3 linked regions of the Arabidopsis thaliana genome follow. The protein of the gene in region 3 interacts with the protein of the main gene of each other region in a pairwise test. Each region holds a gene or a part of one and is shown on either strand. Other genes may lie near its edges. The genes, in order: AT5G22270, TGA6 and NPR4.

Region 1 (10,022 bases), on a different chromosome or scaffold from region 3:
AAAACTCTTAAATCATATTATCGTTATCGATCATTGTTGATCTTGACAAAATATAAATTTGTTGCTGAAATAATTTGGAGAATTTCTTGTTATGATTGTTTATAGTTTCCGTTCATCATCAACTTTAAACTTTTAATTGTACGAGAAACTTTCAAAGTAATTTTTGGATTCACATCACCAAAAAAATTAACAGAACAGAGTTAACCACGTTAATATCACTTTAGTTTTTTTACAAATAATGATTTGAGTATAATTTGATCGTAATTTGTAACCCCATTTCATCATGGAAACAACAATAAAGTTCACTCATACATTTCGTTTTCCCTGTCGTACCTTGACACAGAAACATAGTCCACAGATTTTACTACTAATACTATTTCGAAGACGTACGAGGTTTTACGGAGGGAGATTTGCGAAAATTCACCTTTCTTGTTTAGCTTTTTTGAACATGAGTTTTTGATTAAACTTAACTATATGGAAAGTCTTGTGGAGCAGTTGAAATCCATCAAGAAGGATAAGTTTTCTTGTAATGATAAGTGGTTAACCCTTAAGCTTCAAATCAACAAAAACTTTGAGGTAACGCTTGTTGATTACGAGATCCTGAACAAGATATTTTGGGATATATAATTGTGAGCGATTGATCGATAGTAAGATTTCGGATATATATTGGGACTTTATCTGAAAACACTAAACAATAAGTCGTAAATTGGGAGTACGTAAAAACATTAAGGGTCTAAATGAAATAAAACCTATAATATAACTAGGTTTAGTGACGTGGCATGCACACGTAGATTAAGCAATGCCTTGGCAACACGTATGCAAAAACCCATATGTGTGCACCTGTGAAGTGTTCCAATAACAATTCAAAAGCTCCCTGAGCAAGTGAGAAGAGACCACACTGAGAAGAAAAATCCTTCAGGTTATCGAAAATTCCCGGATTTTACTCTTTGGGCGGTGGCCGATTTCTTACGCGCTCTTTTTGTGGCGACTGTTGTATACGCGCGAGCCTTCATGGACACGAAGGCGGTTGGAGTTTCTAAGGATACGGCGGCGTCGATGGAAGCGTCGACGGTGTTTCCTGGGTTTAAATTCTCGCCGACGGATGTGGAGTTGATTTCGTATTACCTGAAGCGGAAGATGGATGGCTTGGAGAGGTCCGTTGAGGTTATACCGGACCTTGAGATTTACAATTTCGAGCCTTGGGATTTACCCGGTTTGTCTTCGAATTCGAACCAATTGATTCTTTTGTGTCTTTCTTCTACTTGGAATTTGATTTTGTTGTTCTTCAGGCTTCAGGAGAGATCTCTATTTTGGGTGCCTAAGATATAAAGTTTCTATTTTTTGGCTCTTGGATTGGAATTGACAATTTTTTTTGTGTGTTTGTTCTTTGCAGATAAGTCGATTGTGAAATCTGATAGCGAGTGGTTCTTCTTCTGTGCGCGTGGGAAAAAGTATCCACATGGTTCACAGAACAGGAGAGCAACGAAGATGGGATACTGGAAAGCAACTGGGAAAGAGCGTGATGTGAAGTCTGGTTCTGAGGTCATTGGAACAAAGAGGACGCTTGTTTTCCATATTGGTCGTGCACCAAAAGGCGAAAGAACTGACTGGATTATGCACGAGTACTGCGTGAAAGGAGTATCTCTGGTAAAACTGTTCTCGAGAGTTTGTTTTTTCTTATAGATTAATTGTTAACCATTACATAAGAGGTGGTGACTTTGGCTACTTTTTGAGTCTCTAAGAGGAATACAGTAAAATTTTAGGAGTTTTGTCTTTGGCTTGAGTTGATTGATTATGTTTATGTAAATTCTAGGATGATGCTATGGTTGTTTGCCGGGTTAGGAGGAACAAAGAATACAATAGTGGTACAAGTCAGAAGGCACCAAAGCCAAATTCATCAGCCGAGAAGCATGCGAAAGTCCAAAATGGCGCTACGAGTTCAGGGAGCCCGTCTGATTGGGACAACTTGGTTGATTTTTACCTAGCAGGTGAATCAGGGGAGAAACTACTCGCTGAGATGGCAGAGTCATCAGAAAATCTACAGGTTTTGTCACCTGGCTTCTAATTGTTGTATGATGGTTCTTGATTGTTGTCGTTCTTCTTAATGAATGTTATGTGTGTGTGGTTTAGGTGGATAATGACGAGGATTTCTTTGCGGATATCCTAAGAGACGAAATCATCAATCTCGATGAAGCGGTGATGACAGGGAACACACCAAACGAAGTGCCAACACTAGAATCAGCATCAATGGAGATAAGGGTACTTCCTTTACCAAACATGATAGACAAACAAATGTCATCACTGTTAGAGGAAAGACCATCACAGAAGAAGAAAGGAAAAGACGCCACGGAATCATTGTCGAGCTGCTTCGTGGGTTTATACTCGATCAAATCAGTGAACAAGGCACGATGGGATGTTATTATAGGTGTAGTGGCTCTGATAGCAATGTTGTTTTATCTAGAATAAGAGGCTTATGGAAGTAGCGAAAAACAGTGTCCTAGCTATGTTTGTATCATCTTTTCTCGGACATTGACAAGGATTATATGATGTTTTTGTGTAAACGGTTTATGTTTTACACTTCTACTTCAAATCTGTGCAACCAAATCAAAACCTGAAATATCAAGCACAGAAGAACTAGTGGATATAGTTTTTACACTTCAAGGCTTATTAAGTGGTGTGTTTAATGAGAATCAGAGAATGGATAAATGATGGGGGCAAATTAGTAAATGACTATTTTCCAAATCCGTACTGTTTATCTTTCTCGTCCAGATGGTTGTTGCACTAAGATTTGTAGAATTTTCTCGCCGCCATTAAACCTCTGCTTTTGTTTCTTTCTCTCTTCTTCTATACGAGAACCCATTTTGGAGAAGTCAAGTTTCCTCAATACTCCGTCAAGCCGATTTTATTGATCTCGATCAGTTTCGTCAATTTTTCCGGTTTAAGAAACCCTAGAAAAGCTGATGATTCGATAATGAAGTTTGATTTCACTGTGATAAATCGATCTGTAAGTTGGAGATACTTAATCGTCTTCGTTATATCTTCTACGATGCTTCAATTTTGCTTTGTTGTGCTGAGGAAATTCAGTTTTTCTGTAGTATGTGTTATTTGCTTATCCTTAGTAAGTTAGTTACATATGAAGGAGATTCGTATTGAAACCCTAGGTCATTGATTTGATGGAGTTGCTTTTTATAGTATCAGCTTACACTGTTTACATTGTTCTACTTTTGGTTTTTAATTAGAAAATTTGAAGTGAGTAGGTGAATTTTAAGTCGCATCGATCTCATTTTCGATATATGTCTCAATTCGATTAGGCGTGGTCTTTGGATGTGTGTTTAGGATGGTATGAAATGGATTGATTGTGAAATTTGGAACAGGTTTTGTAAGAGCTGAATAGAAAATGTCGAGGCCGATCATGCTAGTCTTTCTTCTGGTTATACTTATAGTCACTTCTCAGTTTGAATGGAGGCAACCACTTCTTGAGCTTGATGCAGCTCCTAGCTTGTCTCAGAAACATCAGCAAATTGCAAAGAGGGAAGAAGCTGTCAAGGAGAAGGTACTTACTTCATTCTTAAACTCTTTTTCATTGAAGTTTTGTGTGTTCAGTTGTATGAGAAAGACCTGAGAATTCGTTTTGGGATTGTGACTTATAGATTAGTACAACTGTAGCAGAGATATGCATAATTGGATAGTGTCAGTTAACTTAGAATGCTCTGATGCTTAAGATTCCTATATCTGCTTCACTTGCCTTTTGAGTCAATCTATAACTATGCCTTAGTAGTTGTGTTGTTGACTTTATCCTCGACATTCTAGTCTCATGAGTCTCTGGACAAACATTCTTTGTAACTGGCTTTCATATCTCTATCTTCTTCTTTTTGAGAATGTCTATGGAATCCATCAATGACTGATCTGAGTTTTTAATGTTGCATAGAAATATTCGGGGTTTTTTTGCCTTCTGTTGTGTTTTCCCTGATTGCATCAAATAGATGAGGTTAGTGGAGAAACATAGACTTATTGGTCTTGCAACCTTAAAGTTCCATTGGATGTATGACGAACCTCATAACTTCAGCATAATTTTGAACCTGAAAATAGAAGAAGACCTGTCAATTCTTAGTTTGTTAATCGTTACAGATCATCTTGTCACAAGAGAGACATATCCAGAGGCTAAACGACCTTGTACGAAGTCTTCAAATGCAGTTACAGCGATGCAAAGGAGAGAACGAGACACGAAACGCCACTGAAACCTCCCATAATAACAAACAGTTCATTGAGCTCGAGAGGAAACACATCGTGGAAGACTAGTATTTCCTCCGGTTACATCAATTCTAATAAATAACCCAAATGGTACGTAAAAACTGTTGTAATTTACTTTTGTTGTGTTAAAAACCTTGCTGATGTTTTGATTAGAAGGATGATTTACTTTATTCACGTGTAAGATTGAGATATTTAAGTACTTGTAATAAAAGTTGAGAATTAGGGTACTTGTAATATCTTTAGTTATGGTTGATTGATTCTATCATTGTCGATGTCTTGGTATAGTCAAACTTTGGTTGTGTGTAGTTAGATTTTTACTTTGACTGATGAGGCTAACGAAAGTCTAAGATGACAAAAGCAATCTTATGTCATATTCTTTCCATGATTTCATCACTAGTCAGAGCCTAAATAAATCTCTTATTAGACACCAACCACAACTCCATATTTGTTCTAAGTCAAACAAAACCAAATCTCCCATGAATTTTCACATACTCATTTATTATTCTTCCATTTTACTATTTGGCATTCTAAAAGTCAATAATATTAACAGTCAAAAGCCATTCATCTGTTTTTGGTCAATCTTTCTATCATTTGTTGGCCGTGCGTCTAGCCGTCAAGCTATCCAAATTCATATTCACCAATACTTATCAATTTTTCAACAATAATTTTCGGTTTATTAAAAAAAGTATCATCATATACGACTTTAGAAATCTAATAATATCAACTACCCATTAAACTACAATTTGTTTTTGTCAACACCGATTTTAACTACATTACAACCTTCCAAGTTTGAAACAAATGCATTGTCTACTTCTTCCCTCTCAATTTGAATTTCGATTTTCATACTAATAATATGATGATTTATGAAAATGGACAAAAATATCTCCTTTGTAATTATCCAAATACTATTTGGTAATAAATGCAATTTCAAAGCACAAGTCATATACTCAATCTTTTGCATACTATTATTTTCAAATTACATTTATTGCTTACAAACACCTCATATTATAATTATTTTCTACAAGAATATTTATTTTGAAAGCTAGATGAAACTAATCCTACTAATTCATTAATATACATTCAATGAGACCCTCTCTCATCTTGCGTGTATCTTCTCCTCTATCTATATATATATAACAGCCACTAACATGCAGACATCAAACTATCTCTCTTTAAATCTCAAGAACAAGAACTAAACTACTACTAGTCTTCACCAAGGTAAAGCTACTTTGGAACCCGAGAACCAAGTTAATTTGTTCTCATCGAATTTTTTTTGTTCTCATATGTTGAAATTTTGTTATTGTCATCTTCACTTTTTGATTGATCGATAGAAAAATAAGTATTCAATTGATCAATTCTTTTTATATATATACATGTTTTATAAACCATGGATCTCCATCTAAAGTTTTGTTTTACTGTGTTTCTTATTCTGATTCTTGTAGAATAATATATCAACACACATAGTATACTCTTCTTGGAAGGCAAGGAACATGAATCAAGAAGCTGCGAGTAACCTTGGACTTGATCTGAAACTAAATATTTCACCGTCGTTGGATTCATCTTTGCTCACTGAGAGTTCATCGTCATCGTTATGCTCGGAGGAAGCTGAGGGTGGAGGAGGAGAGGCTAAATCAATGGTGGTCGTTGGCTGCCCTAATTGCATCATGTACATCATCACTTCTTTAGAGAATGACCCTAGATGCCCTAGATGCAACAGCCATGTTTTGCTTGATTTTCTCACAGGAAACCATAGCAAGAAGAGCACTAGTTAAAAAAAAAAATAAAAAAAAAATACATAATATTAAATTAAGGATGTTCTTTTATTTTTCTTTCTTTTTTCTTTTCCTTAATTTGTTGCCACATTTATTGATAGTTTGAATTAATCCACAATGAACGGATATGTTCATAAAATCGAAACCTATATACTTATGTTTTTAAAACATCCTTAACTTCATTTGTAATATTGACTGCTTAACGATGGATAATTCTTGTAGAAAACTAAGCAATATTAATATTGATTCTTTGCAACGGGTGATTACAAAAATTTAAACTTGGATTAATAGCTAGTATAAATGATGGATGTGTCATTGTGTCCTCATCAAAAGGTTACGTATTCGGACTATTGCGATATTTAATTTTATAAATGGAAAATGGTCGTTGTTGACTTGTTATAAGTTCAATGTATATGTACATGGCACAATTAATTATGTTTTTAATATGAAAAATGTGGAACAATGACTTTTTTTTCTTTTCCTTTTTTTGCACTATGTAATTCTAGCGTTAAATGCGAAGTATATACATAAATATATACACATCATACGTCAAACAATAAATAGGTTTGGTTTACTTGTTACCAAAGTTGTTGAACTAACAAATTAAATGTTTATAAAAACATGAAAAAGAGTTATGCTTATTATAAATGTGAAAAATCTTCACCTAAACTTACTATAAAAAAAATGCATGTTGGTTTTACATTAATGTCGGATTCAACATTACGTGTGTTTTGTTCCTTTCCCCAACTATCAAAAGAAACAACACGTATCCTTTAAGTAGATTTCTCACATTTTTATCATTATATTTACCGCTACTGGCAATTTCAATTGGACAAACCAAAACCAAATATATATTTTTTCGCTGACGTAAGACCTATCAAAGAAATCTATCATTCAACCAACAACTATAAAAACGAATCAAAGTCACTTGTTGGCTACTATTCAACTAACAATATAATGTATCGCTGCCTCGCTGGTCGTTGTTACTTGTTACTAAGAATCGTGAAACAAAAATGATACAAAATTATCAACAATTATTCAGTCTACGTACGTATATACCTACTTATACTATTAGTGGCTGTCAAAGTTTAAACTTTAAACACTAAACAAGTGATAGTAGGTCAACATTTTAGTTAGATATGCTTAATATTGATTCAAACTCAAATATTGCAATTGTTAGCATCGGGATTTAACAAGGCATATCATTAATTTTAAAAAAAGATTAAAATTTGATTGGTCTGAACTTTTAACTCTTTTTTTTTACGAAGATTGTAACACTAAAAACATATATTTGAAGCACTGAAGTGACTGTAAGTACCCAAAGTTGTTGTGATCACTGCAATCATTAAGGTGAGTACAATTTTGAATGTAATATATTAACTATTAAGTAAATACCATTGCAATTTGCAAACCACTTTTTCTGAGAACATAATTTGAAACTTTCTTTAAACCGCTAAAAAACATCTATTGATGTAAACACCTTTTTCTATTGATGTAACATATTAATTATGTTTAATTAACAATAACTATGTGGGTTTGAACATATAGTGATGACAAATCATCAACACTATCACAAATCAATAAACTACATATCAATTAAAACATTGATAATCGACTAAATTGAGTTTGTCCAACCACGCAAACACACACGTGTGTGTTATGTAATAGATGCATATATGTGCAGGTAGACATGACAGAAATTGACGGAACACAGAGTTAATCTGATTCTTTAAAAATGTGAGAAGCTCAAATGCATGTCTTCATTATTTTATTATATTATCTTCTCATGTTCCCAAGTCACGTGACATTCCTCACCCTCGATCTTTTTGCATGCCATTTGTCACATATTCTTACACAAATACATGTATATGTATTAAAATTATCAATCCAGTTTCGAATATTACAGAAGTATTTTTAGAAATGAAATTAGATTTGGGAATAAGAAGGGTTTGAATGTTTTTTTGAAAAATAGTTAATTATTTGGCTAAGAAAGAAAAGTTGTTAATGTTACAAGTCATGCACATATCAAGACCTAACATACAATCCAATGGTAACAATTGTTAATTCACAGTTTAATTAACCTTTCTCTTTCTCTCACTCACTTTTCCTTTTCATCACCACAAAGCACTAATTGTGTGACCATCATCTTAATGACTACTATATCTCTAAACCCTTAACACACTTCCTCAACACTTTTCGGTCTCTTCTTATAACAAACCCCATCATAATATATATCCAAATCTATCATATTCCTATTCCCTCTCTTCTCAAGATCAAACCAAATTTCTGATTCGATGGCGAATCTGATTCGAACAGACCATCAGCAACATATTCCAAAGAAGAGGAAGAGAGGGGAAAGTAGAGTTTTTAGGCTGAAGACGTTCGGAGAGTCTGGACATCCAGCTGAGATGAACGAGTTGTCTTTTCGAGATAACCTCGCTAAACTACTTGAGTTTGGTCACTTTGAGAGCTCCGGTCTAATGGGAAGTTGGTCTTTTCAGCTCGAGATTCAACGAAATCCAAATCCTCTCTATGTTCTTCTCTTTGTCGTAGAAGAGCCCATCGAAGCCTCTCTCAATCTCCGTTGCAACCATTGCCAATATGTTGGTGACGTCCTCTCTCTCTTTTCCCTTCTCTCTCTCTGTATACAATTTTTCTTTTGCGTATCTATCTATATATGCATGTGAATACATTCGTATATAACTATATATGACCTAAGATCATAAGCTGAAAATTTAGTAAGAGTTGACCTAGCTAGCTCAACATGTAAGCATTTTTCTTGCATATATATCTATATACAAGCTTACACGTACTTATGAACAAAAATAGCAATAATAATTTAATATATGGTTAAAAGTGATGCATTTATGTAAAGATCAAAAATATATATTATACAATGGTTTATACGGAACCTTGCAGGTTGGGGAAATCAAATGATATGCAACAAGAAGTACCATTTCGTGATCCCCTCAAAGGAAACAATGGCGGCTTTTTTAAAACTGGAAGGTGGAGGCTACGCTTTTCCCGAAAAGGAAAGTTTCTCCCATCTTGTGGAGCTTCAAGGCCATGTCCTTCACGGCTTCTTTCACTCCAACGGATTTGGTCACTTGCTCTCTCTCAACGGCATTGAAACCGGCTCCGACTTAACCGGTCATCAGGTCATGGATTTGTGGGACCGGCTCTGCACCGGTTTAAAGGCCAGGTACTAATTAGACTTTATATATTTGTATATCATATAAACCATTCAACACAATAACCATTCAACACAATTCTGTTAGTTTTCATATCATAATGGATTATTCCTAGCTATTAATTTGGATTTACACATAATGAGTCATTTTATTTTTGTTCATATAGGAAAATAGGGTTGAATGACGCGTCGCACAAAAAAGGAATGGAGTTGAGGCTGCTGCATGGGGTAGCAAAAGGAGAGCCATGGTTCGGTCGTTGGGGCTACCGGTTCGGGTCAGGGACATACGGAGTGACTCAAAAGATTTACGAGAAGGCACTTGAGTCGGTCCGTAACATACCCTTGTGCTTGCTTAACCATCACCTAACCAGCCTTAACCGAGAAACTCCAATCCTCTTGTCAAAGTACCAAAGTTTATCCACCGAGCCATTGATCACTCTCAGTGACCTCTTCAGGTTCATGCTTCATCTCCATTCACGTCTTCCAAGAGATAACTACATGAGTAACTCCCGAAACCAAATCATCTCCATTGATAGTACCAACTGCAGATGGTCTCAAAAACGGATCCAAATGGCTATCAAAGTGGTCATAGAGTCACTGAAAAGAGTCGAATACCGATGGATATCGAGACAAGAAGTGAGGGATGCAGCTAGAAATTACATTGGGGACACTGGTTTGCTTGATTTTGTGTTGAAGTCGCTTGGGAACCAGGTGGTTGGAAACTATTTGGTCCGACGTAGTCTAAATCCGGTGAAGAAAGTGCTAGAGTATTCCTTGGAGGATATATCAAATTTGTTACCAAGTAGTAA
Region 2 (11,188 bases), on a different chromosome or scaffold from region 3:
GCTTTCTAGTTTATAGTGATCACCTCAGGCTATGAGCGGATGGATCCCTTTATTGTTTCTTTTTTCTTTTTTTATCTTAGTTAAGTCAGTCTTAATAAGCATTAATAAATGTCTTTTTCTTGTTCACTCTTTCTAACTGTGTTCGGTGTCCCATCTACTAAATTTATTTTCCACTTTAAAAAAAAACAATTTGTGACATTTACTTAACTTGGAACATATACAGTACAGTTAAGCAATTAACTATAACCAACAAATTGTCTGAACAATTGTCTGTCTTACCTTTTTAGCTCTCTATAAATTTACGCCGCAAAACAACACTTTATGTCGATTTCAGAATAACTTACTACTCCAGCATATTTCTCAAAACTTTCTCAATAGGTTAAATTTAAAACAACCTTGCAACTTATGAAAAAATCCTCAGCAAATTTGCCAGAAAAGAGTGTTACAATGGCTACAATCACATTCATAGATTAAATATCTGAACCGGCCAGTGACGCTTCTGACCCTTTGAGCTCAGCCCAGTAGCCTCTAACGAGATGTCTATGCTGCGATGCTCATGTGCTCGTGCAACACTCACACGCAGATGAATGCTTGAGGCGGGACACTCTTCGGTTCCGATGGCTTCTCTTCTGTCATTACCAGACAGAACCGAGGCCGGTGCCACTGAGATTGGTTCTTGAAAAGTTAAGATTGTCTGAGCCCAGTGTGTTGGGGGAGTGTAGGGTGATGTGGATAGTACGGTTGGGTTTTCCTTACAGAACCTACTGGTGAAACCTGTGTCAAACCACAACACAACACCATGGCACAACCTAGTTTTTGCTTCTGACTCAGTGGGCTCCAGCGTTGCCGTTGCTGTGAAATCTACTTCATCCGGTTTCATGGTAGCCAGGTCAAATGTCTAGAAACAAAGAAATTCAAGGAAATTAATTTCAAAGTTTTTCCTGGCGAAACCAAATAATGTGTGATCTTTCAAACCTGAAGAAGGGTAGGCTGTGTCACTAAATCACGCTCCGCTATAACGTCAACAATGGGAAGTCGAGTAGTGTCGTCATGTATCTCCTTCCCAATTGAAGACATGTCAAAGCCATAGACATCTTCCCAGAAAGGAAGACTTGTTGCACCTTTTCCAAATCCCGCAACAAACTGATCCAAGGAGAAAACAAGGGATAAAACTCATCAAGATGATTTCATGAAAAAGACAACATTTGAAGGGCAAAAGATAAGCTTTACCATAGTGGCCGTGTCAGGGAGGATTGCACCTCCAGGTTTCAACCACCGATCTCTTGCATAGAGCACAGAACTGAGCATTGACTCATATAAAAGGCAGTATCCCATCCATTCGCTGACTAACACATCAACACTATGAGGCTGAATCTGTATCGATTTATCTAGCTCTTCTACCATTGAGTGTGCAACTTCAAGTACCCCATTATGCTCGTTATCATTGAATACTTTGTTATCCTTCGCAATCTGCTAGAAACCAGGTAAATAATTGATATCTATGAGGAAAAAAGAAATAATGAAAATCTTGTAACAAGTAGAAAAAAAGGTAACCTTAGTTGCAACTTTGGCCATCTTCTCACTAGCTTCAACTGCAACTACCCTTGAAGCCCCAGCTTTAGCAGCAAAAAGACTGCAGACAAAGGATAAATGGTTATTGCATGCAAACTAAAAATAAGAAGTACCAAAAGTTTGACTTAAACAATCAAAGGATCTGCATATAGGCAAGAGAAATTCAAGGAAGCCTTCAGAATATGAAATAAAAGAAGCAAATAGAACCACATGTTTAAAGCTTCGTTTAGAGAATGAGAAGAAACCTAAATGAGATGGCCAATATAGAGTGAGAAAGATAACTGCAAACTCACCTCAATATCCCAGTTCCACAACCAACATCCATTACAACAGAGCCATTCAAGAGAGTAGGATTCTTCAAAAGTGCATCTCGGTATGCTTCTGTTCTAACCTGTTACAGACATCAGACACATTGAATAAACCTGACAGCTGATAGTCTTTCTTCATATGGTGCAAGTGCAGGTTAGTTAATTATGACACAATTCCAGAAAAGATTAGTGCATTACCTTATCACTTAGCATCTCCCTGTGAATGCCAAACGAACTATAAGATCCAAAATAGTTCTCATTCACCTTTCTGATGTTCCTATTAACTAGCCTTCCATCACAAACCTTTGGTTCTGCATCTTTCCCATTGACTATCAAATCATCCGCAGAACTTTGCTTTAGGCCATTGCAGTTTGAGAGCGAAGTTACATCCTTACTTCCATTTATATTGCATTTATCACTGTTCGACATTGAGCTTTCCCCTAAAGCCTCGACATCAATGCTTAAATCCCCAAGCTTCTGCAATTCCTCCATCACTTCCTCTCTGTCAAACGTGACTTCTTCATCTTCCTCATCATCTGCAAACGAGTACAAAAGTGAATCCTCCTGCCAAAAAGGCTTCAGATACTTCTCTTCATCCCAAGGAAACTTAACATCTTTGTAATCATCAGCTTCAATCTTCCAACTGAAACACATGTTCTCAGCCACCTAATTCATTAAAGGAACCAAATTTAAACAAAAACAATAAAATTAGAGAAACCAAAAACGAAGGAAGCAAAAACACAAACCTGTGAGCGAATATAGTTGATGAGCTTAAAAGAAGAGTAGAAATCGAGCTTCAATTCCTTTCTAACTCCATGAAAGTCGAATCCGTGGCTTAGACGACAGTGTTCGAAGAGTAAATCACAGGAAACGAAGTGAGAATCACAAAACAAACACAGAAAATCAGATTCCGAGTCGTCACCATCATCCTCCTCCTCCTCCTCTCCTCCTTCTATACCATTATCATCAGCTTTCCAGTCTCCCCAATCTCCTTCGTCTGAGTAATTTTCTTCTTCATCCTCGCTGTAGTTGAGAATCTCGTGCTTCACCATTGTCGCCGCCATGAGAAAGATAACGGCGCCAAGTTCTTAAGAGAGAGGTTTAAGAAAGCGGAGACACCCCGGCGGGATAGAAAAACAATTACCTTCTTACCCTTTTTTGTAAACCGAAACTAACCGGAAATAATTACGGCTATTCTCTACATCAGCTTAGGCCCATAAAAAGCCCATTAGCCACTCACTTCGAAACGACGTCGTCAGATAACTCTGGAAGCAATCAGATAGTCAGATGTTTGTTTCTCTATTCGGCTACTCATTTCTCTTTTAATCTCAGGCAGGAAGGTGAAATTTTTCGATTTCGTAGATCAAAATGGCGGCACCATTCGCGTTGAGGAAAATCGGTGTTCCTCCGAACTCGGCGAACCTGACGGAAGCTCGCCGCCGTGTTTTCGATTTCTTTAGAGCTGCCTGTAGATCTATCCCCACCATCATGGACATTTACAATCTTCAAGATGTCGTCGCTCCTTCTCAGCTCCGCTATGCTATCTCTGCTCAGATTCGGAATAACGCTCACATCACCGATCCTAAGGTACTTTCCCTTAATTTAACTCTGATTAATACGGACCCAGGTCCTATGCGATGGCGAAATTGAAAGCATTTTCCTTGTTTGGCTAATGCGTCTTGGTTGGCTACCAAACAATGAGCTGTTTTATATTTGTTAATCTGATCGTATCTGCTTTCTATTCCACTTTTGGCTTGGATTTATTGTCAGCTTTGTTTGAGTGTTGTTGAAAGCTGAAAGCTTACACCTTCTATCGTGTAGAATTTGTGCAAGTAGTTTATGTGAGCGGAGACTTTTAATTTCTTGGTAGTCTTATCTTATGAACAAAAAAGTGTCTTGTGAATTGGGTGCTTGGTGAAGATTTACTTGGAGCGAAAAGGTGGGAGCTTTACCGGTTACATCCTGCTAAAGCTGTGTTCCTTTCTTCTTTGCATTTGTTTTCTTTCATAGATGAGTCTGTTGTCGTCGATACAGTAAACCTGCTACAAAATTATATACTTCATATCAAAATGGTGTTCTTTCTCGTAGTATGACAGCATTGTTGGCATTTGGTACCAAAGTTAAGATTTGCTTATGTGGTGAATGGTTAGTTGTTTGTATTTTGAACCATCAATTCAAAGCATCTCCTTGAGTGTGGGTGTAGTGATCTCGGATTGGTTCTCTTTTAAGGTGATTTTAGAATGCAATCTGATGGTGGTCTTGCTTCTGCAGGTAATTGATCTTCTTATATTCAAAGGAATGGAAGAGCTGACTGACATTGTGGATCACGCAAAGCAGCGTCACCACATCATCGGTCAATATGTGGTGGGTGAAGGGCTCGTGCAGAATACTGGAAACAAGGATCAAGGAAAGACTGATTTTCTCAAGAATTTCTACACCAGCAACTACTTTTGAACTGGTGATGTTTACTTTTCGAGTTTCACATAAGCTGTACTGTTTATGCTGCTTCAGTTCTTGCTCAAGTTTGCATATGTCTTGCCAGTATTGTATTCTCGACATTTGGAAGAAGTCTTCTTCCTGGAAATAATTAGATCTTTTCATTTGTATGAGTATTTTCTCTGACTCAGGTTGGTTATACATAGTATTAGCCAAACCTCTGTAAGCTTTATGTGTGACAGTGTTTACTGGGCAATCTTGCTATGATTTCAAGATACACAATCTGCTCTCTTTTTTGAACTCTCAATATAAATTGATTTGGTCTGCTGGAGTTTATGATCATACAATCCAAGTTCCTGAAAGGATCCCATCTTCTGTCATGTTGGTAATTGCGACCTTACACTGATCACCTATCCGCTTTGAATATTCAAAGACCTATAAACATTCACTCTATAAAACTATGCAACCTGATGGCTAAAAATTACAACACACACAACACTCGAGTCTTGCGGACCTCAGGAAACCAATTTCAAAACCTGCAGTCTTCTTTCCCAAAATATTGCTTTTGGTAAGAATCTGAGAATGCCTTGCTTTGTGATCGATCTCTTGGAAGGAGTATCCCTGCCGATCTGAGTCATAAGATTATGTATAGGGCTGACTGCTGAGTAGAGCACTATTCTTCTGTTTCACTCTCTTGGCCGGGCAAGCCACAAGGAACTAAGAGCACGTAATCGAGATGAATAATCGTGTATAGCAAGAAGAGCACGAGCTGACTGACGTGTTGTTAATACTCGAAGCATCTGTTGTAGTGTTTGCAGCCTCAAGTTATCAGCCTGCCACCAAGAAATGCCCTATGAACTCCATAACAGACGGATTCATATATAAAATAAAATATTTATCTCTTTGTGACGATGAAAAGATATGGTATATCTCGATAACATCCACATTTCTAAAGTACCTGGCGTATGAATCCTTCGAGGGTGCCTAACTGCCCCATTGCCATGGCCATCTGACCCATGTAGCTCGCGACATTATCCGATGAACTGGAACCAAGAGTTCCACTGGATAAAGTATCAGCTAGGGATTGCTGTAAACTCTCCATCCCTTGAGATAAAGCATCTTCTGCCTGCTGCGACGTCTGCTGCAAGCTATTGATGCCCATTACCTGTCGTTCTGTCATGGGCTCTAGCTGATTCGCAAGAAGCTGTTGTGAAAACACTGCGACTCATTAAGTTGGCTGTTCATCAAAATCTCTCTATGGACTTGGAAAGAGCTTACCTTGAGAAGTTCGGATGAGCGGAACCCGCCAAGCCACAAGAAACATCGCTCAGCTGGTGTTTTCCACATTCCAGATAACAAGTGGAAGACATCATTCTTAGCTGCATTGCTCTTAATCCTGAAAAGCTCCTCATAGTGAGCCATCACTCCATCCACAATTATCCGGAGCTCAGTATCACCTGCATGAGCATTCAGGGCAGATCTCAGCTCGTTCATTTGCCTGTTCTTTTCTTCAAGCCATCGTGAGTGTTCTGCATCAAATGCCAAAGCCCCTGCAGAAAGGCAAGTATACTAGATCAAGAACAAACCCTTGCAGACCTAAGCTAACACCAGCGCAAACTATAAGAAACTTCAGTTTTGACATCACCATGACTTTAATTTCCCATCCAGATCATCACTGACTCTTGAAACCATTAACTCTAACAAGTGTAAGCATATTGCCATGAGATGACTTATGCTATCACCAATTCATCAACATATATGTATATATGCACTTATCTCACATAGAAATTTCAAATCAAAAGGATCAATCTCAAAACTAACAGAGAAGAAACAACCCACCATTGCCACCAGTAGAATGAGCTTGGTCTCCTGAACTTGAGATGAAAACTCCCTAAAATTGAAAAATATATATCCTTAAGTGACAAATACACTGTCATGAGTCATGACAAAGAATCTGATAAGAACCAGAATAGAAATTCTCTGTATGCCATCAACATCCGAATAAACAGACCAGAAGGACCTATTTCGAGAGAGTTACCAGCTACTTTTACCCAACTAAACTATGGATGACCCATAATTCTGTTACCTCCTCTACTTCAGCTAACCCAAGACTAGTACTAACTCGTAACTGACTGTTAGTTATAAGTTGAAGTAGCTTCAGCCTTTTATCTTCTTTATAAAGACATACATATCAGAATCAAAACAAATAAGAAAGTTAATAAACCTGCTGTCTTGCTCTTTGCAGCTCCTGCTCAAGTTGAGTCAGCTTTAATCGACTATTCTCCAGCTGCTGAACATACGCCTATGGAGGAAACAATAACATGCTTAAGGTAATGACAGATAGATATTCTTCTAGAGATATTACAAGGAAATAAGAGGAATATATAAGAAAAATCAAAACAAGAACAAAAGCAAAATATACATACCTTCTTCCTCAATCTGCTTTTTCTTGCTGCCTCACGATTTTGAGCAAGCCTACGAAGGGTCTATGGATCAAAACGAAAAGGAAACAAAACAGATTATGCATATGCGTAATATACACAGATGCTAGTTGATCCACAGAGATGAATCTATCACCTTTTGATCCAACTTATCCTTTGATCGATCACTGGAATCAGAGGCAGCAGCATGCATATGCCCTCTATCAGACTGCATGTAATCAACATCAGGAATTACTGTTTCATTCAAACTATGCATGTTTGATGAACATAAGCAAATGACTAGTCCTGTGGATTTGGCTATACCGGTAGAATGCCCCAAGTTTTACCAAGGGATTCCGGTACAAGCCTCCCAGGAGTGACATTGTAGAGATAATAAAACTATAAAATGATTAGAGCCAGATTACGAGCTAACCCCCAGATCTCTATGATCTGTGTCACCATCAGTTGAGACATCAGTCCTTGAACTGGTATCAGCCATACTAGTTTCTGTACTAATACTTGAGCAAACACTATCCACTTGTGCTCCCTTTTGCAATGATAACCTTTCACCTCTGGTGCAGAGTTTCACACTAGAGGGAGGAAAAGCTGCCAAGAGGAAAGAGAAAAGATGATTATGAAAGAAATTAACAGATAGCAGAGAGAGAGAACTGCATCAGTTTGGAATTTGGGCACACTCACAAGTATCAAGTTATTGGCTCACGGAAACCAGCTTAAGTCACACTGCAAGACAACGGTTCAAGTACTAACATGGACTGAAACAAAACAGCGGATTCAAAATCTAACACAAGCGAGAACTAAGCTTATAACACAAGCGAGAACTAAGCTTATAGCAGCTGATCACTCAAACCAATAACTCATCACCAAGGATTCAAAATCTATGACTCTTAACAGAATTCAACAGACACATGAAATTCAAAGCATACTAACATTTGAAATCCATAAGGATTCATCAAGATAATTCGATGGAATTTGGTTGCTGAAAACGTCATCAAATGAACAAAAAAAACTTGAAACTTTATAAGCTTCTGAAAGTCAACTAAGTCTTAATTTCCAAAGGCAAATCACAAAGTGAGAAAAAGTAAGCTTTCCAATGACTAAAGTAAAACAAAGAAGGAGGAAACTTCAAACAAAAGAAAAAGAAAAGAAAAAGGAAAGAAACAAAACCCAAAAAACAAAAGAGCTTGAGTTGCAGAAAGCAAGAAGCTCACCTGAAAAAAACTGAAATCTCCTGTCTGAGTAAAAGGTTGTCCGAAATCGGATTGAAAGAAGAAGAAGCAGCAGAGACACGATCCGTAATTACAATCTCTGAGACGTCGATTTGTCTACAAACCCACCATCCCAAAAAGAAACATCGACAAATTTAACGGGAATTTGCAAACTAACCCCCCATACTATTCTTGTTACCCCTAACGAACTCTATAGTCTTAGCTTTACAAATATTACCCCATACAAATTTATTGAACCGGTTCAAACTGTCAACCGGTCCGGTTTTCTAGGCAATGCTGAAATCATTAAACAATAATTTGTCCTATGTCATGTGCAATAAAATAACCTGCAAAGCATTTTACATGGGACTTTGTCCCTTCTGGCCTTCCACGTACATTCTCACGTCAAGTGCCCAAGTGTTTTCAGCTCAAACCCTCAATTTCAATTCGTTAACCAGTTGGCAGTTGGTAATTGAAGGAGAAAACAAACTCTAAACACCTTTACATCCAAAGGAAAACTAAACAGATTAATTGGAACTGGTTAGAGAGACTAACCCGAATTGTCTCGGGTATAGATATTGCAATTGACCGGTTTATAGAACCATACTCAACCGAAAAGATTCCATCTTTGTTTTGGGTCAACGCCTCTGCTTTTGAGTTTTGAGTATATATAAAAAATGTTAAAACTCAAAAACTAAAACAAGAATGGCTTCCTGGATATTCAAGTTGCTGCTGCTGCTGCAATGTGTGCTTGTGTTGATTCAACATGCTGATTCAAGTTCTATCATCAGATATCTTCCTGGTTTTGAAGGCCCTCTTCCATTCGAGCTCGAAACCGGGTTCTTTTCCTCTGCATTTTCATTTCCATATTACCCCTATAATGTATGTATGACGCTGTGTTCTGAGTTTTAGAGTTACATAATGAAGGTATATTGGTGTTGGTCAAAAAGAGGAAGATCAACTGTTCTACTACTTCATCAAATCTGAGAACAATCCAGAAGAAGACCCTCTTCTTGTCTGGTTAACTGGAGGACCTGGCTGCTCTTCTTTCTCTGGTCTTGTTTATGAGAATGGTAAAATAAAAATCTCTTAACTCTTTCTCATTTGTCGTCTCTGCATACTATTCAGTAACTTGTTTGAATTGAAAAACAAAAATCAGGGCCACTTGCTTTCAAGGTTGAGACTTACAATGGAAGTGTACCGACGTTGGTTTCTACCACATATTCATGGACTAAGGTAAAACACCAGTTTTGTACTCCTGATTACAAACCCAACTAATGAAACTCTTCTTCATCTTCAAGTTTTAAGACCATTGGTTCTTCTCAGGTGGCGAACATAATATATTTGGATCAGCCTGTTGGGACTGGCTTCTCCTACTCAAGAAATCCATTTGCTGATATACCAAGTGACACAGGATCAGTTAAGCGGGTCAACGAGTTTGTTCGTAAGGTAAAGGCCAAAACTCAAAGCATCTGTCTTTCTGCATTGACTTTTGGAGATTTCGTTATTATTGTTGGTGATTTGTTGTGCAGTGGCTAGCTAAGCATCCTGAGTATTTCTCCAATCCTTTCTATGTCACTGGAAATTCTTATTCCGGTAAGGTGATTCCGGCCATCGTTCAAGAAATCTCAAATGGTAAGTTTTTATCACTTCAACCCCTATATATGCAAGCCCTTTACTTTGATTCTAGTTTCTTGATCATTTATTTTACCACAGGAAACTATATATGCTGCAAACCTCAAATAAATCTTCAGGTTCATTACTATATATATGCTTGCTTCTTACATTATTTCCAATATTGAACATTATAATTAAAGAGCTATTTGTTTGCACACCACCAAAAAACAGGGCTATGTGATCGGAAACCCGGTAGCATACTATGATCATGATAAAGACTTTCGCATTCCATTTGCTCATGGAGTAGCACTCATCTCTGATGAACTCTTTGAGGTACAATTACATATATGACTTAGGATATATTGTATAGTTTGTCTCCTGTCACCACAACAAAGTAGTTGAAAAACCAGTTCAAATCTCTTTTTACTTTGTAGTCGTTGAAGGCAAGTTGTGGAGGAAGCTACAGTGTTGTAGATCCTCTTAACACAGAATGCTTGAAACTCATCGAAGATTATGACAAGGTTTACACACAATCTGCAATTTAGTCGGCGTGAATGATATAAAAAAAGAAAATAACTAACTTAGAATTTGTGGTTATATTTATTTACAGTGTGTTTCTGGAATATATGAAGAACTTATTCTAAAATCAAAATGCGAGCACACATCTCCTGATTGTTATGTAAGTGATTCCAACTTGTATGTTGTATCTCTCTGTTTATATTTCGATCAATGGCAAACCACTTAACTAACCATTAGAGAAGAATATTGACATGGTTGCTTTTTGCAGACGTATCGGTATTTGCTATCTGAATATTGGGCTGATAACGAGACTGTCCGCAGAGCACTCAAAGTTGTGAAGGTATATGACAAGTTTTTGATAAGATCATTGGTAAAATATCTGTTGATCAAACTCTAAGAAGATTTTGATCTCAGGGGAGTAAAGGGACATGGGAACGATGCGATTATAGAGTGCTTAGCAACCAAGACATCAAAAGCAGCATACCATTCCATATCAATAACAGCATCAGAGGATATCGATCTCTAGTCATTAGGTACACAATAATAAACTTCTTTACAAGCTTTTTGCTTTCATTGATTTGTTTTTTTGTAAGCTTTTTTTTCTGGTATGGTGTTTCTGTTGAATAGCGGTGATCACGATATGACAATCCCTTTCCTTGGAACTCAAGCATGGATAAGATCTCTCAACTATTCCATTACTGAAAAATGGAGACCTTGGATGATACTCGACCAAGTCGCCGGGTATATATATATAACCATTTCTTTTACATCTTCTTTTTTTGTTGTATATAAGCTTCTCATCCGACGAAATCAAACTTTTGTTATTTGCAGATACACCAAGACTTATGCCAATAAGATGACACTTGCCACTGTGAAAGTATGTTCTTTTATCCACATTTATATGTCAAACAAAAATGCAAAGCTTGTTTACACCAGTTTATTAATTGGTTTGTGGGTTTGGTTTATTATAGGGAGGTGGGCACACATTGGAATATAAACCAGAGGAGAACTCAGTCTTGTTCAAGAGGTGGATAAGTGGTCAACCTCTTTAAACACACTTGGAGTGATCTTATTGATGTTGAAGCCCAAA
Region 3 (11,854 bases):
ATCCAGAAATCAGAGAAGAGTTCATAAACTGTTGAATATGATTTCAAATCTCAACTACTGTATAACTTTCTCATCTATTCCTCGTCAAAACCCAGTTCAAAGGTTCGACCTTTCTCGTGTTTCAGTTCCATTTCGGAGTTTTCAGATTGAAAGCTGTGTTCGTCAGGATAAATCTAAGTTACAACAACACTCGTCTCACTTACCAACTAGGTTTTTCGTTAATCCGGTATCAAGGGCTAGTAGGAATCAAGCTCAAGAAGCTCTTTTTGATTACTTGCATTATACTAGAAGCTTTACTTTTACTGATGCAGAGCATATAAGTAAGAATTCTCCTTGTTTTATGTCGACTTTGTTGTCTAAGATTGATGATAATCAGAAAGATGTATCCAAGGGATTGACTAAGTTCCTTAGGTACAATCCGATAAACGAGTTTGAACCGTTTTTCGAGAGTTTGGGTTTGTGTCCTTATGAGTTTGAAACGTTTCTTCCACGGAAGCTAATGTTTTTGAGTGATGATGGTATCATGTTTGAGAACTTTCATGCTCTTTGCAACTATGGGATCCCGCGTGGTAAGATTGGCCGTATGTATAAAGAAGCGAGAGAGATTTTTAGATATGAATCTGGGATGTTGGCGATGAAGCTAAGGGGTTATGAGAATTTGGGTCTTAGTAAGGCTACAGTTATTAAGTTAGTTACTAGTTGCCCTTTGCTACTGGTTGGTGGGATTGATGCTGAGTTTTCTTCTGTAGTTGATAAGTTGAAAGGGTTACAAGTAGGATGTGATTGGCTTGGGCGGTACTTGTCTGACCGGAAAACATATAGCTGGCGCAGAATTCTGGAGACAATAGAGTTTCTTGATAAAGTGGGATGTAAAGAGGAGAAGTTGAGTAGTCTTTTGAAAACGTATCCAGCTTTGGTAATCGAAGGCTCCGGAAAGAAATTCTATGTTCTGTTTGGTAGGTTGTTTAAAGCGGGGCTTCAAGTGAATGAGATTTATAGGCTATTTATAGACAATCCAGAGATGTTGTCAGACAAATGCGTGAAAAATATTCAGAAGACGTTGGATTTCTTGATTGCTATTAGAATGGAAACGCAGTTTATCACGAAGATTTTGCTGAGTCATATGGAGCTTATTGGTTCATGCTCTCTGCCAGCACCTAGAACTGCTTGTCTTAGTTTGAATGTTAAACAAGACGAGCTATGTAAGATCTTAAAGAAAGAGCCTTTGAGATTGTTTTGTTTTGTTTCTACAACGAAGAAGAGAAAAAGCAAACCTCTTTCGGAAGACTCGAGGAAATACTTAGAGAAGACAGAGTTTTTGTTGAGGCTAGGGTATGTAGAAAACTCGGATGAGATGGTGAAGGCTCTAAAACAGTTTCGAGGGAGGGGAGATCAGCTACAGGAGAGATTTGATTGCCTTGTGAAAGCCGGTTTAAACTATAATGTGGTTACTGAGATCATCAGGCATGCTCCGATGATACTTAACCTGTCTAAAGATGTCATAGAGAAAAAGATACATTCCTTAACCGAACTTCTTGGCTATCCAATTGAATCATTGGTAAGGTTCCCGGCATATCTGTGTTATGATATGCAGAGGATACATCACAGATTCTCAATGTATTTATGGTTGAGGGAAAGAGATGCAGCAAAGCCAATGCTGTCACCAAGCACTATTCTCACTTGCGGTGATGCCCGGTTTGTGAAGTATTTTGTCAATGTCCACCCTGAAGGTCCAGCCATTTGGGAAAGTATAAACCAATCATCTACCTGAAGTTAAGGTTATTGGCACTATTTCTTGAATTTAGTACAACTGAGACAGTGAAGGGTTTTTGATATCAATGCCACCTAATGAATCAAAAGGAAGAGTTTGGAGAATTCCGGAACAGAGAGATCCATTAGTGTTAGCCGATGCTTGTGAAAGAGCAAATGAAGTATGTGCTGAGTTACAGATTTGATGCAGATCTAAAATGTTGCGTGAATTCATTGGAAATATTCTTTAGATAGTACTGAGAAGATCTGCAAATTGTTTGTTGGAATATTCCTCCTTAGCCGTCCTACAACATCTGTCCTGCAACATCTGTCCTGTAAACAAACAGATGGACACGCATAACATTCGAAGGAGACAGTACTGATGATTTGTCCAGAGTCTGTTACAGGTTACTGAAAGATCTCTCATGTGATTCATATACTCTTTAGTAATAGTTAGCTTGTGTTATGTAATTGACTGCTTCAGTTCAGGTCTAAAGGAAAGCAAATATTTTTGTAACAATTGAAGACATAAATCCAAGTAGTAGAATTTTCTGACCAAATAAGCAAGCAATATGTTCTAAATGATTTGGATTCAGAGCATCATATTTTTCCTTTACACATTTTAAAAATCAAAATCCCTTGTAATACAAATTGAACCTAAAGCCAAAATGGGATCTTCAATCTTTTCAAAGGAACTATCTCTATTCTCTAGTTCCTGTTTTGCTATCAGAAGCAGGCTTAGATTTTGGTATTGAGATTAATTCAACACGAGGATCTTTCCCCTGAGAAAGTGCCTGTTTAGTAATTCTCTTGCAAGAAGCTTGAAAATCTTTTAACTAGCTTAACATTTTTCTTGTGCTTCTCGTTCTGCTCAATCGTTGCTTCGATTTCACTTCCATATATTACAATTTTCTGACTAAAGAAAGAAGCAAAGCAAAAAGGAAAGGTTTTGCTTTATACATTTCAAAAATCCATCTCCTTTAATACAAAATCAAACCTAAACCATGTAATAAACCTGAATACCAAAATGGGATCTCCACTGTTTTCTAAACCAAAACCTATAAAATAGCTAATTTCTTCCAAGGAACTATCTCTAGTAGCATTACTTATCTGGGACAAGATCATGTTGGATTCTCTAAGGCTTCTCTAAGAGAAGAAGCTGGTGATGAAGAAGAAAGACAAGACCGCGCGACTTTGTCTTTGCTATATGCTTTTTTAACGTCGTTCTTCAGCTCGTTATATCTCATCCTCTTCTGTCTTCTCTCTTTCACAGTGCCTTTCTCGGGATACGACATATCAGGGATTTCTTCGTCCATATACTGATCCATGTACTTATCCAGAACCTCATAACAAGATGGGAAGTATCTCCGACCTGTCTCAACTGCGTTGTTGAACGGTTTCGAATCAGTCAATCTTGTGGTCAGAGAATAAAACTTGAAAGTACATTTCCTTAAGCTTTTACCTGTTTTCATGAGGGCTTTCATACGTGTAAGCATTCTTTTCGTTTGCACATAAGGCGTTTCATTTAAATCGACTTTACCCAAGTTTTCAGTTGTATCATTTGATGGAGGTGGAGTTAGAAGACCTGTGCACTCGCTTGTCCCTTCAACATTAGCAACGTCCATAGCCACATTGGCTTCTGCTGGGAAGAACAACTGAGCAAGTCCCACTGCAATGACACATACAAGAATTCAATAAAGAGACATCAACCTTAAGCTATGAGAAATATATATATCGACTAGGTCAATACCTCGCTTTTCTAAGTATAACAACCTCATTTGGAGATCCTCGGGCATCGAATGGGAACAAGTGGGTGTATCCCCACTAACCAATGGATTCCTTCTAATTTCCCTTTCCAAGATATCGATGCATAAGCGGTATTTACTAGGTTCTTTCCTTGAGGTTTTGGTATGATAATCTTTCGGCCTAGTGAGTCTCCTACATATATTTACCGCACTGCGTCCATCAAACGTGAAATCTGAAGCATTAGCTCCTTTTTGAATAAGTGGTATGATAATTGTTGGCTCTCTACGCATAGCAGCAATATGAAGAACCGTATACCCCCTGGAATTTCTGAAATTAACATCAGCCATATCTAGATCAAGAACCTGTGTCACAACTTTCGGATCACTGTATGCCACTGCATAATGTAGACCATTGGCTTGGTCTAGAGTTATATCTGACTCAGTCAAAAGAAGCTTCACGAGTTCTACATCATCTGAATCCAATGCCTTGAGTACTTTCCCTGTTCTCTCTATCGATTTATCCTCCACCTCGGGTATGTTCACCGACTTAACTCGAAGCTGTTTGATTTTTTCCAATACTTCTAAAGGAAGCTCCTTTTCGATACAGAATCTGTCTAAGTCTGATCTCGCCACTCTCTCAATGCATTGATCAAGAAGCTGTGTCAAATCACAATGAAACGCAACTAAGAGGATAGGAAGAACATTCTCTACTAGTGACTTCTCAACATAGTTACGAAGCTTCCGCTGCAGACACAACAACACACAACATTACAGCCTTGACCAATCAAGAACAGATTATTTACCAGCAAAATCACAAAGAAACTTTATCTCAAACCTGAAATGACGAAACAAGATCCGGGATTTGGAACACAAATGAAGCATACATCAACTCAACAGCAAAATCAATGGCCGGTTTACAAGAATCATGAGCACAAACTGAATCAACACAAGTTGAAACCTCGATAGGAAAAGGCTTTAACCTCCCAGTGTAGATATAGCTCAAGAAATGCAGAAATGCCTCACGTCCCACATTTCCATATGGTAATAAATCTTTCATTTGATACTTAGGTTTCTTCTCACTACTATCTTTATCTTTCTTAAACAGATCAAGAAAAAACTTGCTCCTAGCAGCTAAAACACATCTATGAACACTCACAGGGTTAGCTTCTTCTTCAATGATGATCTCTGCGTCAGTGTAATCGCAATCTGGATTAGTGAGAAGCTGCTCCAAGTTAGAGCTGAGCTCTTCAAGATTAGCAGCTGAGTGATAAGTAGTAACAACAGGAGAAGGGTTTGATAAGTGAGAAGATGTGAAACTTATAGATGAAGATGGCTCTATTGCAGTTGCAGCCATTTTGTTCCCCAGAAGTATCACTCAAAGACTCTGTTTTTGATCTTCAAATCCCCAAGGATACAAAAACCCTAAATCTAAATCCAATGACAAGGATCAAATTTTGAGAAGTGATTGGATCAAAAACAATACAGAGAAGATCATAGATATGAAATTAATCAAGCCCTGAAGAAAAGATCCAAACTTTATGAAAGAACATTCTAATGAATCAATGTGAAGAACAAAGTCAATTCGAGAAATGCTTCAAAAAGTCAACGAAAATGGCGGATGAGAAAAAAAAACTAAATGAAACTTAAATCATAAGAGAAAGAACTGAATAGATGGGTAGTCTTCAAAATCATTGCACAAATGAAAAAGATTTCAAGAAGAAGAAGACAATCTCAGAACAGATGGGAGAAAAAAATCAGAGGTTTATCTAAAAGCTAAAGGTGAGAAATAAGAAGACTGACCAAATAGTAAAGTCTTTGGAGAATAGTAAAGAAAGAGCCAATTCCTAATCCAATCTCCTAAATTTTGTGACGACGATTCAAAAACCGTAAGCAATGTCGTCAGCAATTGAAGACGACTTGAGTTGTGGTGAAGTGGGTCTATGACGTCTTAAATAACGTCAGCTTTGAGAAATATACACAAAATGCTAAGTAGATTGATGATAAGTGGACCCTTTCTAATAAGGTCATAACTTATAAAATGGGTTATGTTATGTCTACACAAAAACTCAAGATAATGCAAGAGTAGATTGATGATAAGTGGACCCTTTTTAATGGGTTCTGTATTTTATTTGAAGAGCATGAATAATTGAATTTATCAAACTTTTTCTTTACTTGGTAGTTGGTATATATATGATGATGCTAACCAAGTTCATTTTGATTAGTTCTTCAACCAAATTTTGGTAGATTAAATATCATAACATAACACTGAATATAAAAGAGTGTTAATCTTTCTTGCAGGATTTGTAGAATGGAGATGAGCAAACTCTTCTTCTTATAATTGCAAATAGTTTCATCACAATTCGTTTGTTTGAGTTCATCAAGAATCTAAAACCCTCCCAACAATTACTTTCGAGAGTGAGATACTCTCGTTTGGCCTCTCTGAACCAAACCAAGCCGGATCCTCAAGGCTATTAAATTACAATTCTACTACTTTCACTGGCTATTATACTCTTCATAGTAATCATCACTTATAACAGACACAAACCTCTCAAGCCAAGGAAGCTGATGAAGATCTTTCATTGCGGCTTCAACATATGATGACTCTGTACATGGAGGCGGCGGTGACTGATAAGTAGTATGGTGATCACTGAGACTAAACCCTCCACCTGCTAAGAACCTTTGGATCAGAGCAAGCTGAGATCTTTCTTGCTCTGAGTACGCGTCCATTACAGTTGGAATTGAGTTAAATGTGTCCCAAGGCCATTGCTCAACTTCTTGAATTGTGTTTTCCTCTACTGCGTTTTCTTGTTCTTCTTCATCATCGTCCCAAAAAGCACACGTGCAAGTCTGTTGCCCTTCTCTGTACTCTGCTCCACACGAGTAGCAAAACTCATGCCCGCATCTGCGGAAAACACAGAGAGTTTTGACATTTATATGCGTAAGAATCGCAAAAGAAACACTTGCTCTAGAATACTAGATTTAAACGTAGGCGAGAAAAAAAAAACCTTAGAATCATATGGTTATTACGATACCGTGATTCTGCAGTTAAAGGGTCAAGACTAACTATATTTTATTGGAAGTCAAAAACCTAACTTTGGTGGTTCAAATATGTATAGATACGGAAAACAATGTGTAGCCATAGATATATATGTGTGTCTTACCGGCAAGTCATGTGGTTGCAGCCTTGAGCAAGCTCGATCATTATACGGCATTGCTGACACCGCCTCCACCTCTTATACCTTGCCAAGCGATGCAATGTAATATCATCTGGGTATCTTTCATCAACTGGAAGAATCTGAAACTCTTCACAGCTCATAGAAGCATGCCAAGGAACACCACAGTCCACACACACAAACCTCTCACAGACTGGACACTCCACACAGCAGCTATTCTCTGACTGAGTAGACGAGCTTGAGCTAGCCCTTCCTGATGATAGACATTCTTGCGGGTCTAACAGAAAAGAGCAATTGGGATATGGGCAGTAAATCTTCCCATTGTTTTTACTACACACATTTGCTTCCTCGAATGATTTGAAAGTAGTGACGGGAAGGAACGATTTGCATTCCGCTGCTGAGAGATAATGCTTGCATTGCACTTGAGGACACCTGATGGGAACCTCTGAAGTCTTTACTTTCCCTTCAACGTACGTTTTCATGCAGTGCGAACAGAATTTGTGAGTGCATTTCAATGATAGCATCATCTCAGACTGACGGTCTTCACAGCAGATCGAGCAGTTCTCGATCGGTTTATCCCCATCAAGATTAGAAGACACGATTCCTACCGCTACTTGAGCCAAGCTTAGAGCTTCATCAAGATCACAGAAAGGAGCAAGCTTTAGAACAAACCCATTAAGGTTACTTGTTTTCTCCAATACCCTTTCTCTCAGAGCTACTAAAAGAGGGATCTCGAGCTGCTCCTCACGAGTTATCTGCAAAGTCAATTCATATAAAACGTGAGCTCAAACCTACAAAGAGATACAAAACCATATGAAAGCAAGTCTCTTCAACAAGCTAAAGAAGAGAGACTTTACCTGATTATAGAGCAACTCGGAGTCGGTTACAGCAACCACAGAGCTGAGATTGTTCTGTAAAGCTACTTCAAGACCATCCATAAGAGCTAAATAGTTAGCTACAGACTCTTCGACATAAAAATCCAACTTCTTCTGAACCTGAATCAACTCCAAATCTCCTGACCTCTCCAACACAACACCAATTCCCGAATAACCAGAACCCAAATCTCCTCTTTCGAATATCGAGACTCCTTTAAAGACCATCTTAACAGAGAACTCATCATCAAGATCATCTTTTTTCTCCTCCTCTACAACTTTAGCTATATCATCACTACCCTTTAACCAAAGTTCTTCATCACCACAACAACTTCTAAACTCTTCCTCATCTCCTAAGTGATTCAATGGAAGCTCCTCACATTCACAAGAATCCTCTTGATTTTCCATGTCTGGAAACAAACCTATCTAAACTACAAAAAGGTACAAACTTTCTTAACTTAGCAACACACCAATGAAACCCATATCGGATCTGCAAATTTCATGAAACAAAACCGAATAAAAATGAGATAAAGCTAATTCTTTTAGATATCATCTAATCTCAATTATACCATATACTGAGAGAGAGAGGAAAGGGAACAAAAAAAATGAACTTTGCATTACAGATCAACAAAACAGCTAAGCTTGATGAAGTTACATAAACAGATCAGCATAAATCAGAGACCAAATCATTTGAAAGTACACAGAAGATAACAAAAGAAGCAGCTCGATTTGTTGACCCACTAAACACCAACCAGACCCTCAATTATTACATATTTCAAGGAAGAAAAAAATTCTAATTTATTTAAGTAGCAGAAATCACCAGAGATTTTGTAATAAAACGAGATCGGTTGAAATTAAAGTATCATTAAGCAAGAACAGAAATCCAGAAGCTTTCTTACCAGTGGAAGGAGATTTACACTTGGAAACTAAAATTAAGAAGAAAACTCTAAGCTATAATAACATCTTCAAAATCTCTGTTTTTTTCCAGGAAAAAAAAGAAAATAAACGCATTGTTTTGGATGTTTCTACTGAGTTTTTGTGGAGAGAAGAAGAAGAAGAAGAAGAATCATCGGTTCTTCTGGTTTTGCTCTCTCTTCGAATGGCGTAAGAGAAAAGTTTTACTTTTTTTTGTTTTGTTTCTTTATTCTCTCTTTTTTTATTTATTAATTTATTTTATTTTTCTGAGTTTTTGGCTTCACTTTGCTGTCATTCTCGTACTGTACAATGTTTTATATTTTCCCACAATGAAATAATTATTTTCACATTACTAATCATCAAGTATTTAATTTAAAATATATAGTTTAAATAATTGAAACTGTAATAATGGAATTGGATTAGAACCTGAGCATGAAGAATTATAGCTTAAGAAACCAAAGTTAGCACATGGACTTTGTCTCCTCTCATTGAGAAAAAAAGCTGTAACTTCATTAAAAAAAAATCTTTCTCTGACTTTTAACATCCAATAGTTATATTCCCTTTGAATAAAGTTAGCAAAAAGAAGTACAAAAATGAAATTTTTAATAATTGTATTTCTGCAATAGAAGACACTCGAGGACAGTTTATGGCAGCAGGAAGTTTGAAAATGGAGACAGCAATCATTAGCTTAATTGTTTATAATCTTAATTCAAATGGGAAATGTGAACATGGACTTATCTTTTATTGCAGTGTTTGTGGCATCTGAAGAAACAGTAATTAACAGAGGAAATAAACAGAACAAATGCGATTACTAATGAATTAACCAAATAAATGGAGCAAACACAGAACAAACAATTGAACATCATTTCTAATTTGAATAACACTTCTCATTTGAATCTTGTACATCATTTCTAATTTTAATTTGTAATATATGGGCCTACTGAGACATATCAATGTGGCCCAATATCAATAGATGGCCTACTCAGATTTTTCCTTTGAACACAACTAATTAGTAATTCCTAATTTGCTAATAATGAAAACATAAACAAATTTTGAAGTAGGAAATAACGATATATTACCAATGGATATGACAAAGAAAACGACAAATTTTGTAGTTTTTTAACAGTTTGTAAATTGTAACATATTCAATTCAGCGATGTCGGTAGTTCAATTTTAATTCAACATTAAACCAATTTAGCAATACATTTTGACAGTAAAATAATACGACATTTCATGTATCGTTTGGCATGATCCACACCTTCCAGGCTTCTCTTCGATTAAACAAAACTATAGGATAATATAAAATACAATTTAAAACCTTTTTCTATCTGATAATGTACATACACAATCAATAAAATCAGGATTCCGATTCTCTAGTGTAATCTTTTTTCTATTGATTTAGTCATAACTTGACTTTCCAAATCAGCAGCACCGAGAACAAGCCGGCAAATCTTCTATATAAGACAACCAAAGACAAAACAATTTATCTCATCAAAAATTCAAACATCATATATTATAAAACAATCTCAATACTAATGGCTACTACCAAGCTCGTCTACATTCTCCTCATCCTATTCACCTTCACCGTATCTCCGGCGATCTCAACGGCCCCGGAACATTGTGATAGCGGCTTTGATAACCCGTGCATCAACAAAGCTAAGGCTTTACCACTCAAAATCGTAGCCATTGTTGCCATACTTACAACAAGCTTGATAGGCGTGACCTCTCCTCTTTTCAGCCGTTACATTTCGTTCCTCCGTCCCGATGGCAATGGTTTCATGATCGTCAAATGTTTTTCTTCTGGAATCATCCTTGGAACCGGTTTCATGCACGTCTTGCCTGACTCTTTCGAGATGTTGTCATCGAAATGTCTTAGTGATAATCCGTGGCATAAGTTCCCTTTTGCGGGTTTTGTCGCTATGATGTCCGGTCTAGTCACTCTAGCCATTGACTCCATTACCACCAGCCTTTATACCGGTAAGAACTCAGTCGGACCAGTGCCTGATGAAGAGTATGGCATTGATCAAGAGAAAGCGATTCACATGGTAGGCCACAATCATAGTCACGGTCATGGTGTAGTGCTAGCAACTAAAGATGATGGACAGCTTTTGCGCTACCAAGTCATTGCCATGGTTAGTACATATGAAAATACTACAAAACGGTCTTGAGTTCAAATCATAAATTAATATGTATAACCATACTCAAGCTATTTTTGAATACCATGAATAGGTATTGGAGGTTGGCATTTTATTTCATTCTGTGGTCATTGGACTATCTCTAGGAGCAACTAATGATTCATGTACCATTAAAGGACTCATCATAGCTCTTTGCTTCCATCACTTGTTCGAAGGCATAGGTCTTGGTGGCTGCATCCTCCAGGTACGAATATACATTCATACTATATAGTTTATGTCTCTTATATCAATTAGAAATTTACGTTCATATGTATATAATTTATGTTAACAGGCAGATTTTACAAATGTGAAGAAGTTCTTGATGGCATTCTTTTTCACTGGAACAACACCTTGTGGTATCTTTCTTGGAATCGCATTGTCGAGTATCTATAGAGATAACAGTCCAACCGCGTTGATTACGATTGGACTGTTAAATGCTTGCTCGGCCGGAATGCTCATCTACATGGCCCTCGTCGACCTTCTAGCTACCGAGTTCATGGGGTCAATGCTCCAAGGTAGCATCAAACTTCAGATCAAGTGCTTCACGGCGGCTTTGCTTGGCTGCGCCGTAATGTCGGTCGTCGCCGTGTGGGCTTAAACACTCTTTCAACATAATCAATAAATTATTTGATTTATTATTCAAGGCGACAAATACTTTCGCCTTTGTATATTTGAGTTTTTGTTTTTAAGTTTGATTCATTTATTAGTTTGTATAGTGCATGTAAGCGTTTGAAAGAAATTTCTTTTTATGACATTGTAAATTTATTTTTATGAATGCGATGTTTACTTTCTTCTTTGGAATGACATGTATTTAATTATTGGAGTTTGTTGATTGTCAATGTTAGTTAGAAAAAATTAGGTCCGAAATACTAGTGACACGGAAATTAAAGCTATATGAATTAATACTATCAATTATATTTAAAATTACTCTCTTCAAGAAAATGTACATACAGTCTCTTGTTTTAATAAAGAAAAATTTCTTACTTTGGTTAGATTTAAATTACACAATATTTCATGACAACTATTTAACCATAAAAACTCGATAATGTACTATATCTAACACATAATTTGTAGGTGTGAATGGCTTAAGCTAAAAAGCTTATAAATTCTATGTATTTCATTCCATTTCATGGTTTTTTGGTTGAAAACTTTAAGTACAATAACAGACTTACTAACTAATTTGTAAATTTCCACACATGTTTTGATTCCATACACCTGGAATCATA

The links.
Region 1: the proteins of NPR4 (region 3) and AT5G22270 interact in binary tests that used the Arabidopsis thaliana proteins (3 or more experiments, as listed by UniProt).
Region 2: the proteins of NPR4 (region 3) and TGA6 interact in a two-hybrid assay, tested with the Arabidopsis thaliana proteins (2 studies listed by BioGRID).

The regions. Positions count from the first base shown.
Region 1 is NC_003076.8:7,368,488-7,378,509, reverse strand, and holds AT5G22270 (uncharacterized protein), read left to right. Parts: upstream 1-5,250; 5' UTR 5,251-5,469; intron 5,470-5,693; 5' UTR 5,694-5,741; coding exon 5,742-6,023; 3' UTR 6,024-6,401; downstream 6,402-10,022. Other genes in the region: NAC089 (NAC domain containing protein 89), read left to right, coding at 1,012-1,213, 1,394-1,647, 1,814-2,044, 2,131-2,466; AT5G22280 (peptidyl-prolyl cis-trans isomerase G), read left to right, coding at 3,398-3,553, 3,984-4,238; MS1 (RING/FYVE/PHD zinc finger superfamily protein), read left to right, coding at 8,318-8,630, 8,943-9,225, 9,381-10,022. UniProt on the Arabidopsis thaliana protein: Involved in ethylene-dependent salt stress responses by reducing reactive oxygen species (ROS) accumulation.
Region 2 is NC_003074.8:3,902,398-3,913,585, reverse strand, and holds TGA6 (TGACG motif-binding factor 6), read right to left. Parts: upstream 7,236-11,188; coding exon 7,170-7,235; exon of another isoform or gene 7,136-7,169; coding exon 7,061-7,135; exon of another isoform or gene 7,014-7,060; coding exon of another isoform or gene 6,966-7,013; coding exon 6,894-6,965; intron 6,803-6,893; coding exon 6,743-6,802; intron 6,619-6,742; coding exon 6,541-6,618; intron 6,208-6,540; coding exon 6,156-6,207; exon of another isoform or gene 5,907-6,155; intron 5,867-5,906; coding exon 5,595-5,866; exon of another isoform or gene 5,521-5,594; coding exon 5,275-5,520; intron 5,150-5,274; coding exon 5,003-5,149; downstream 1-5,002. Other genes in the region: PRMT3 (protein arginine methyltransferase 3), read right to left, coding at 464-898, 976-1,143, 1,231-1,470, 1,555-1,633, 1,866-1,963, 2,079-2,546, 2,627-2,944; AT3G12260 (LYR family of Fe/S cluster biogenesis protein), read left to right, coding at 3,249-3,467, 4,152-4,334; SCPL15 (serine carboxypeptidase-like 15), read left to right, coding at 8,668-8,801, 8,890-9,035, 9,122-9,198, 9,289-9,411, 9,495-9,597, 9,679-9,716, 9,811-9,912, 10,014-10,100 and 6 more.
Region 3 is NC_003075.7:10,693,396-10,705,249, forward strand, and holds NPR4 (NPR1-like protein 4), read right to left. Parts: upstream 5,398-11,854; 5' UTR 4,849-5,397; coding exon 4,330-4,848; intron 4,239-4,329; coding exon 3,500-4,238; intron 3,419-3,499; coding exon 2,871-3,418; downstream 1-2,870. Other genes in the region: AT4G19650 (Mitochondrial transcription termination factor family protein), read left to right, coding at 1-1,771; AT4G19670 (RING/U-box superfamily protein), read right to left, coding at 5,988-6,396, 6,656-7,422, 7,525-7,947; IRT2 (iron regulated transporter 2), read left to right, coding at 9,990-10,586, 10,684-10,833, 10,921-11,226. UniProt on the Arabidopsis thaliana protein: Salicylic acid (SA)-binding substrate-specific adapter of an E3 ubiquitin-protein ligase complex (CUL3-RBX1-BTB) which mediates the ubiquitination and subsequent proteasomal degradation of NPR1 in the absence of SA.